2 linked regions of the Canis lupus familiaris genome follow. Each later gene encodes a partner of the first gene's protein in a complex. Links are inferred from orthologs where the notes say so. Each region holds a gene or a part of one and is shown in the gene's direction. Other genes may lie near its edges. The genes, in order: IL22RA2 and IL22.

Region 1 (4,363 bases):
CATGCTGGGCATGGAGCCTACTTAAAAAAAAAAAAATAGCCAAGGTTAATGCAAAGTCTAGAGTTCACTGGGTAACATCAGTAAGTAGATGCTGCTGAAAAGCCTAGAAGACAGGAAGCACCAAGAGGGTGCAAAGAGAGCCTAAGATCTGTTGCATGTTTCTTCTTTGAAAGCGTTGGTTCACTCTGAGCAATGGAAATCCCACCTGGAAGAGATGAGGGGTCTGGTTAAGAAGTCGGACACAGCCTGGAGGTGCTGGAAAGCCTGGCGTTATTTTCACAAACCTGTCCATAGTGCTCTGGCAGTTATGTCTACCTCCCTTTTGAAGTAGGCTTTGGAAGGTAGAGACAATGTCTACCTTAACTGCTGCTGCACCCTTTCTGTGAGAATAATCAGCCGCAAATGTTTGTTCAATGTTGTTGAGCGAAGGCATGAATGAGAACTGCTTAGCAGCCCTCTCTAGTACTTACTACACAGGCTGGTCTACCAAGAACTTAAGAGAGACTACAGAGGCATTTCCTCTTTTGACCTAAAAATCCTCATTCGAAAAAAAAATATTACTTTCTTCTTGTGCTTTCATGTACAATTATAGTGCCTCTACAAACATGTGGTTTAAAAATTGGTAAGAAAAAATGAATATAATGAATCATAGGTGAAGCATAGATGACCTAGTTCGATCAGATTTCAAAGAAGATATGAAAAAGATACGATGTGGCTCAAAATTATTGTTCTCCACATTCAACCTTTTAAGGACTCAGTTTGACAGCTCAAAATCTTTCAGATGGCTGGAATGGAGGGTGGAAATGGAAAAGGAAGACTTTAGTGACTGCGGCCCTGGGCCACCAAGGATTAGCAAGACAGATGGATGAGTAGGGCAGGGAGGCGAGTGGAGAGCCAGGGGGGTGTGGAGGCCATGAGGTAAACACCAAGGAAGTTAGTCAGAGAGAGCTTCCAAGAAGGGAGGAAAAGGAAGAATCAACCAGAGATCCTACCAGCTTGAACCACTGCCAGGAGTCCAGATAGCTGCCACTGGCAAGCACATTTCTCAGAATCGCTTTGCCAGCTAAGTGGTGGTGGCTGGCAGTGTCTCTGCCTCCCTGGGCTAGATTCCCTGAGGGCCTTACGAGCTGTTTTGTTCCCTCACCTTTTCATGCCTTGCACAATTCCTGCCCTACCCTGCCCTCTGATCTGCCAATCCTCAGTGTTTTGCTCTTTCTTTTTTTTTTTTTAAGATTTTATTTATTCACGAGAGACACACAGAGAGAGAGAGAGAGAGAGGCAAAGACACAGGCAGAGGGAGAAGCAGGCTCCACGCAGGGAGCCCGACATGGGACTCGAACCCAGCACTCCAGGATCATGCCCCGGCCGAAGGCAAGCGCTAAACCGCTGAGCCACCTAGGGATCCCCATGTTTTGCCCTTTCAAGGCTAACAAAGTCCTAGTCCCAACAAAAATAAGCTTCTACCTTGAAGTGACTTATGGCAAACATTTTTGAAGGGATTTTTATACTTTTATAATAAACCTAAAATAAAAAAACATTATAGTTGCTTCAGGGAACCATGGTTAAACCCACGAGGGGATGTCCAGCATGAGGATTCTTCAGTTTCCTCTTCTGTCCAGAGCTGTGCTCTCAGTGAAGGGACCACTGGCTGCCTGACAGTCGCACACCAACCATGATGCCTAAACACTGCTTTCTAGGCTTCCTCTTCAGTCTCTTCCTGACTGCTGTAGTAGGTAAGTGCTTCACTTCTTTTTAATTGCTCATGATTTTGTCATCTGAGTCTGCTCAAGGGGCTGTTGGAAATGGCACCACTGCTTTTCTGGGCTTTGTCAAATTTTCAGCTTTCTTCTGTTGTGAAATGATCAGAACAGACATGGGGTCAATTTCTATGTGCAGCCTGCGTAACTCCACGTGGACTTCACAAGGAGCTGCTAAAGAGGAGGCGCTCAGGAAACTTCAAGGGAAACTACAGCACAGTAGTTATGAGCAGGCTCCTTGCCTGACTACCTGAGCCTGGATCCCAGATCTGCCATTTACTATCTAGGAAACTTAGGGCAATTGACTTTATCTACCCTGTGCCTTAATTTCCTAGTCTGTAGAATGGGGATTGTAAGTCGCCGTGAGGATTACGAGTTAATATGTACTCAGTGCTTAGAGCAGTGCCTGGCACAGAATGGAGACCATAAACTTCATTTGAGAATTTGCTGTTGGTCTTCACAGAGAACTTTTCAAGAGCAGTGAATATCTTGTCACCCCAAGATACCTCTGATCAAGGCCATTACATTCCCCCAGTGAAAGATAGCTACCTGTCAGCGTGACTTAACAAATGTTCCCAAGACTATACAATTGCTCAGAGACTGATAACATGAAAACAATTCAAGCCCTCATCTTTCAGAAATGAGTGGATTTGTGGGGCACGAGGTTGGCTCAGTGGTTGAGCATCTGCCTTCAACTCAGGTCATGATCCCAAGGTCCTAGTATTGATCTCGCATTGGGCTCCCCACGAGGAGCCTGCTTCTCCCTCTGCCTATGTCTTTGCTTCTTTCTCTGTGTCTCTCATGAACAAATAAATAAAATTAAAAAAAAGAAGAAAGAAAGAAAGAAAGAAAGAAAGAAAGAAAGAAAGAAAGAAAGAAAGAAAGAAAGAAAGAGAAAGAAAGAAAGAAAGAAAGAAAGAAGAAAGAAAGAAAGAAAGAAAGAAAGAAAGAAAGAAAGAAAGAAAGAAAGAAAGAAAGAAAGAAAGAAAGAAAGAAAGGTGTGAATTTGAGTGGACTATACCTTTGGTCCTTGGCAATAGAAAGGACTTGTTTAGCAAAATATAGCAGGAATTCAAGCACTAACAAAATGATTCTGGCTCTACTTGCTACAGGCCTGGAACTTTGGGCAAGATCCACAATGTTCTGAAGGCTCAGCTTCCCCATGTGTAAAATGTACTAATAAAAATTCCTACCTTATTTGGTGGTCATGAATATGGGATACTGTGTAAAGCTTTCCACACAGTGCCTGATACATGTTTCATGTTCATATATGCTCAGTGATCAGTGAGTGCCAGCCAGAGGAGGCGGAGATGAAAAGGAGGAGAAAGAATATCCTCAGACGCTCATTGCTTTTTTTCCACGTCTCTCCAGAGGCTTTGTTCTTGGTTTCTGCAGTGGAGGGGTGACAGCAGCAGGCTCTGGAGTCAGGTGCCTGGTACAAAATCCGCTTCACCAATTTTGTCTGTCAGAGGGAGACTTCAATAGTACTTTTTTCATAGAAGAGTAGGGCAGATTAAGTGAGTTAACACAGGTACAGGCCCTCAGTGGCTGGTACCCGGTGATCTGTTATTATTGGTGGTAGCAGTGGTGGTGTTACAAAAGTGAGAGAAGAAATCCAGAGACAGAGGGGATAAAGGACATTGAGCTGACCATCTCTGGGGTGGCACAGGCTCCAGGAAATTGTGTTCATCACGTCCTGAGACTTCTGGAATTTTTCTGTACTGCATAGGACAAGATCCGGTAGTGATTTTGGTGAGCAAAATCAATGGTGGCAGTAGACTCTTTCCAAGTACACACCACCATTTGATGCACTGAAGGAGTTCCAAAAAATAAAAATAAAAGCAAACAAAAACCAAACAGCTCCCTTCAATAGAATAAAACAAAGCTTGAATGTTCAGAACTGAGATTGTGAGCTCAGAAGTATGTTCTCACTTCTCAAAGATTTTTTAGCAAAGGCTTGAAGGTGGTAAAGAAATGAAGCGTGTGGGATTCCAGGGGAGAGCTAGGACCGGTGCAGGGACCCGCAGGTGGGAGCACACCCGGCGTGGCGGAGCAGGAGGAAGGGGGCCACCCTGGAGTCAGGGGGGGTGGGGTAGAAGATGAAGTCGGGAAATGATGAGGATGTGTTTCCTGACGCCCTCTCCTTCTGCCCAACTTCCTATCCCTGATCAGAAACCCCACACTTGCTGGGAGGCAGAACTTCTTCACCCCTGCCCATCTTAGGCTTTCAGCTGGGACTCATTACCAAAAAGGCAGATTAACAAGAGAAAACAGAATCATTCCATCACACATCACAAGGCAGGAACCCAAGCGAAGAGTCACTCACATGGTGCTTGGTATTCAGCTTCAACACAGAGCAACACGTTTACAGGGACCCGACGGGCCACTTAGGCTTCCGAGGGTGGCAAACTGTGGTAGTAAGCTCAAGGACCTGACGGGAGGAACTGATGGAGGAAGGTTTGTGTGCAGACTCCTCTGGTGCCGTCCTGGGCTGAGAAGTCTGTCTCCAGTAAAAGGAGAATTAAATCCTGCCTTCAGGCAGGCAAAGGGGAGGATATTGAGAGTTTTCCTGTATGTGTTGCTTCTTCACTGCCTTCAGCTCACAC
Region 2 (4,334 bases), on another chromosome or scaffold:
GCCATCTCACCAATGCTCAAGATTCTATAATTATTCATTTTCCTTCTTCTAGTTCTTCAACACTCTTGATCTTGACTAGTTGTGGGAGAAAAATCTGATCAAACCTATGTGCATACTCCTTCCCCTAGCAATAGATCATGGCACTTGCTCCCCTGTCATCCATCTCTTGGGAGGTTTCCCAGTCTAGTTTTTAGGTGTTATTTAGAATTTAATCCATTTTTAATAACTCAAAATCAAGATATAACTACTATATTGCCAGGTTCTCTTCCTTAGGCATCCATATACATGATAAAAGTTGTTAGAAAGATTTTTTGGAAATATTATTTCGAGACTTAACTTGTGTGTTACTTAACTTGAATGAGCACAGGTAATATTTCAAGATGAGCTATTATATCTACTATATTCTTAAAACACTTGTATGTTAAGAAAGGTAGCGATTAGATTGCTAAGCATTAGTATTTCCAAATTTAAATTGATACTGATTATAATTTAATAAAATTTTTTTTAAAGTAACCTCTACACCCAATGTAGGACTCAGCCTTATGATGCCAGGAATTAAGAGTCACATGCTCCTCTGACTGAGCTAGCCAGGTATCCTTCAAAGAAAATTTTAAGATATATTTGCATCCACCATAATTATTAAGATCACTTTAAAAAGTCACAGAATGGGATAAAATGAGTGCTTAGATTAGCCAACACTGTTATTTTAAAAATGCAAGTCTTCCTCAGGATTAAAAATATATGTGTATATTTTTATGTACATTAAATGTACATAAAAGTGTATTAAAAATTTATAAGGTTATTTTTAAAAGTGGAATTATCTCCAAGCTATTATCACTATTTATTTTAAGGCAGAGGATATAGGACACGAGTCCTTTATTTCTGATCACCTTTAATGAGATAAGAATCTATGAAGCTGGAAGGAAAATGAGCCTATGACCAAACTGTTTACTCAGCTACTACAGAAGATGAAAAAATATTATGCCGAATCTGGAATCCACGAAGACAAAGCAATTGCTTTCTTTGAAAAATAAGTAGGGTTTAGAAAATTTCTGGGATTTATCTGTGAAAACACCTTTGGGGCCCTAATAGTGACGTTTTAGGGAAACACTCGCATTTCAAGGTGGGAAAAATAGGAGGTGGCGTTTTGTGGGCTCCTGTGGTGGTTAGGTAGTTCTCAGAAGACAGTACTGGAAATTAGATAATTGCTGATGTCATTTTTTACAAAAAAAAAAATGTGTATTCTGGGGGCTATAAAAGCAGCAACTTTTGCCTTCCCCTCACAAGCAGAATCATCGAAACAGGTAAGTGTTTCAGCAAACTTGGTGTGATGGGTTCGTTTGACGTGATACTTCTTGATACCTAATTGTTTGCCTTTATGCTTTTGCTTCTTGTTCTCTTGATACCAGGTTTCTTTTCTAGTCGCCATTAGTTCCAGTTAGAGCTGTCTGCGATGGCTGCCCTGCAGAAATCTGTGAGCTCTACCCTTATGGGAACTCTGGCCGCCAGCTGCCTCCTTCTCATTGCCCTGTGGGTGCAGGGAGGGGCAGCGCTGCCCATCAGCTCTCACTGCAGACTTGACAAGTCCAACTTCCAGCAGCCCTATATCACCAACCGCACCTTCATGCTGGCTAAGGAGGTACTCATCTCGGTCTCTCTGTCTTTCATATCTTCTCTCCTTGGAACCTGATAGTTCCTAAAACGTTTTCCAGAACACTACTAAGATCTGTAAGAATGCATTGTCTCTCCTCACTGGTAGACCACAGATTATTTTCTATGTCTCCTTAGAGACTCTTTGGAGATTAGGCTTTACCAGAAGACCCTCCATGTTGGCCTTGATGATATATGTTCGTTGAATTTTACTCCCCAAAGGCCATTTATTAGCCCTTCTGACTGTGTTTCTCCTTACTCCTGTGTGCATTATTTTAAACTCATGCACACATCTGAATTCTTGAGTCTTCATGGGGCTGCTCTGGGGAGAGTGGATAGAGTGCATCTCTACTCACAGACTTTTCATCACAGATGAAAAGGCACTTAGTCTTTTCTTCTCTTCCAGGCTAGTTTGGCAGATAACAACACAGATGTTCGTCTCATTGGGGAGAAACTGTTCCACGGAGTCAATGTAAGCCATAGTCATGATGAGCGGGGCAGTGTGTCATCCCTGGTTGTTTGGATGGTGGTGATGATGCTTTGGGTCTTCTGGATGCCCCTCAACATGACCCCTGCTGTTTCACTTTTGCCTGCAGATGGGAGAGCGCTGCTATCTGATGAAGGAGGTGCTGAACTTTACCCTTGAAGAAGTGCTGCTCCCCCAATCCGATAGGTTTCAGCCCTATATGCAGGAGGTGGTGCCCTTCCTGGCCAGGCTCAGCAACAAGCTAAGCCAATGTGTGAGTTTTTGTCCCCGCCTAACTCTACCCTCTCCTACTTGACTGTCTTGCCTTGCTTCTTTCCTTTAGAGCTCTTCTCTGCAAACCCTCACTGCCCCTTCCCACGCTGGCAGCAAGAGGTGCCTCAGCAACACCACCGTGAGAGTCATTTGGAATCACAGAATGTTTGTTTTTGCTTTAATTGAATCATATTTTGAACATATGATGACGAAGAGTGTCTGAAAGACAAGAGCAGAGAAAGCTCTTTTGTCCTTGGGAAAAAGCATCTCAAGTTATGTGAGACAAGAAAGGTGTTGAGACCTGTAGGGAAAAAATGCCTAGGTGTGGGAATGGGTCCCTGGAGTATAGATGGAACAGGTGGGAAGAAGAGAGGCTAATGGGAAGATTTAATGTTCAGTGCTGGGTGGGCAAAGATGGTTGCCCTTTGGATGTCACGAGAAGGGACAAAAGTCAGAGGTGTGTGACCTTGATGGCTCTGAATATTTAAAATTATGAAAAGACTGCAGTGGAGTGGGCAGAGTGAAGGGACCTAGTATTTATTGAGGAGGGCCTACTGTTCACACAAGACATTTTATGTCCGTTTCTTGTTCTGAGCATGCATTTTTTTGAGGGGTAGAGTTAGGGTTTTATTCTTCACAGAATTTGCATAAACCACTCTACTCTTTCCACAAACGTAAACCTCAGTAGGATTTCTCAAGGGTGAAGAGAGGTCCCATGTAAGGGAAATGACTGGATTTTGGTGTCCAAGGGAATTCAAGAGCTTTGAAAATCTAGGTCACTGGTGAAATCTAGGTCATTGTGGGCAAAATTGCTAAGAACTTTAACTCCAGGTGCATTGTAACACACCTCAGTTAGGGACGCTGAGGTTCATAAAGCTTCAGCACGACAGTGTTAAAATAAGTGCTCTGGTTTTCATTTTGTAGCATATTGAGAACGATGACCAGCATATCCAGAGAAATGTGCAAAAGCTGAAGGACACAGTGCAAAAGGTACTACTAATAACTATTAACTCTAACCATTAAATAGGAGAGACAAATATTGTTTTTCTTTCCTACCTTTTCTTTTTTCCCCCCACATGTAATTTTTTGCTTTATTTGCCTACATCAGGTTGATTATATATATATTTATTTGTATATACTATTTATTTTGTATTTATTTTATATATATTTATTATATATATTTATAGATAAATTTTAAAATTTTGCAAATCATAGAATTCTAGAATTGACTGGGAAATAAGATTATCTAATCTCTTCACCCCATGTTCTGGGCATGACTAGCCGTAGAGCCAGGGCTAGAATGCAGGTCTCTTGAATCCCCTCCAGCACTCTTTCTAGCAGCAATTTGTGTTAGTTTTAGTGTTAATTCTTTAGGAAATTTGAAATTCCTACTGATTCACGTAATCCAAACAAGCACTTGTTCAAAAACAGGAAAGTACTTGGGGACAAATTTATTTGAGGTGATTTTTGAAGCCATTGATTTGATGACTTAAAACTTGGAGAAATAAACCCAGAACAACCATAACAAAAGAGTTGCACATATATGATGTAAATTTTTAGAATTATTGATACTTATATTTAATTATCATAATATAATACCTAGAAGCTATTGATTTTAATTTAAAAGCAAGAATGAGCAACCCCCAATTTCTTTTATGCAGTTCCAAATGGAATGGATTTATTAGAGTGAATGGAAGTCTGAACTGGAAATACTCTTCTCTTCCTCTCTTTTTTCCCTTTCCTTTCTGGTCTCCTTCTTCACTCAACAAATCCCCAGTGAGCATCTATCTGGTTAGGCTAGTGTGCATTTGTACAGAGAATGATACTGTCACATGGCCTATTTGGATAAAGGAACAATAGTAGAAGGCTCAGACTAGCAATTGTGACTCATTCAAAAACCAGAGGAATGATTACTAGCAGCGAAAGTGATGCTTTTGCAAGCAGG

The links.
Region 2: the proteins of IL22RA2 (region 1) and IL22 are in contact, whole or in part, in a crystal structure (PDB 3G9V), measured with the Homo sapiens proteins. The link is inferred for Canis lupus familiaris from reciprocal best matches to the Homo sapiens genes IL22RA2 and IL22. Residues at the interface, in NP_443194.1 of Homo sapiens: Lys65, Ile66, Tyr99, Gly100, Gln101, Arg102, Trp104, Gln128, Glu129, Pro130, Tyr132, Met148, Pro150, Arg151, Thr153, Trp155, Trp156, Glu157, Glu200, Pro246, Met247, Leu248, Asp249, Arg250; in NP_065386.1 of Homo sapiens: Phe47, Gln48, Pro50, Thr53, Asn54, Phe57, Met58, Lys61, Ser64, Leu65, Asp67, Asn69, Thr70, Asp71, Val72, Arg73, Leu74, Lys162, Gly165, Glu166, Asp168, Leu169, Met172, Arg175, Asn176.

What each region holds. Positions count from the first base shown.
Region 1 is NC_049222.1:29,859,096-29,863,458, reverse strand, and holds the start of IL22RA2 (interleukin-22 receptor subunit alpha-2), read left to right. Parts: upstream 1-1,283; 5' UTR 1,284-1,672; coding exon 1,673-1,733; intron 1,734-4,363. UniProt on the Homo sapiens protein: Isoform 2 is a receptor for IL22. Binds to IL22, prevents interaction with the functional IL-22R complex and blocks the activity of IL22 (in vitro). May play an important role as an IL22 antagonist in the regulation of inflammatory responses.
Region 2 is NC_049231.1:10,850,615-10,854,948, reverse strand, and holds the start of IL22 (interleukin-22), read left to right. Parts: upstream 1-1,453; coding exon 1,454-1,639; intron 1,640-2,056; coding exon 2,057-2,122; intron 2,123-2,246; coding exon 2,247-2,390; intron 2,391-3,313; coding exon 3,314-3,379; intron 3,380-4,334. UniProt on the Homo sapiens protein: Cytokine that plays a critical role in modulating tissue responses during inflammation. Plays an essential role in the regeneration of epithelial cells to maintain barrier function after injury and for the prevention of further tissue damage.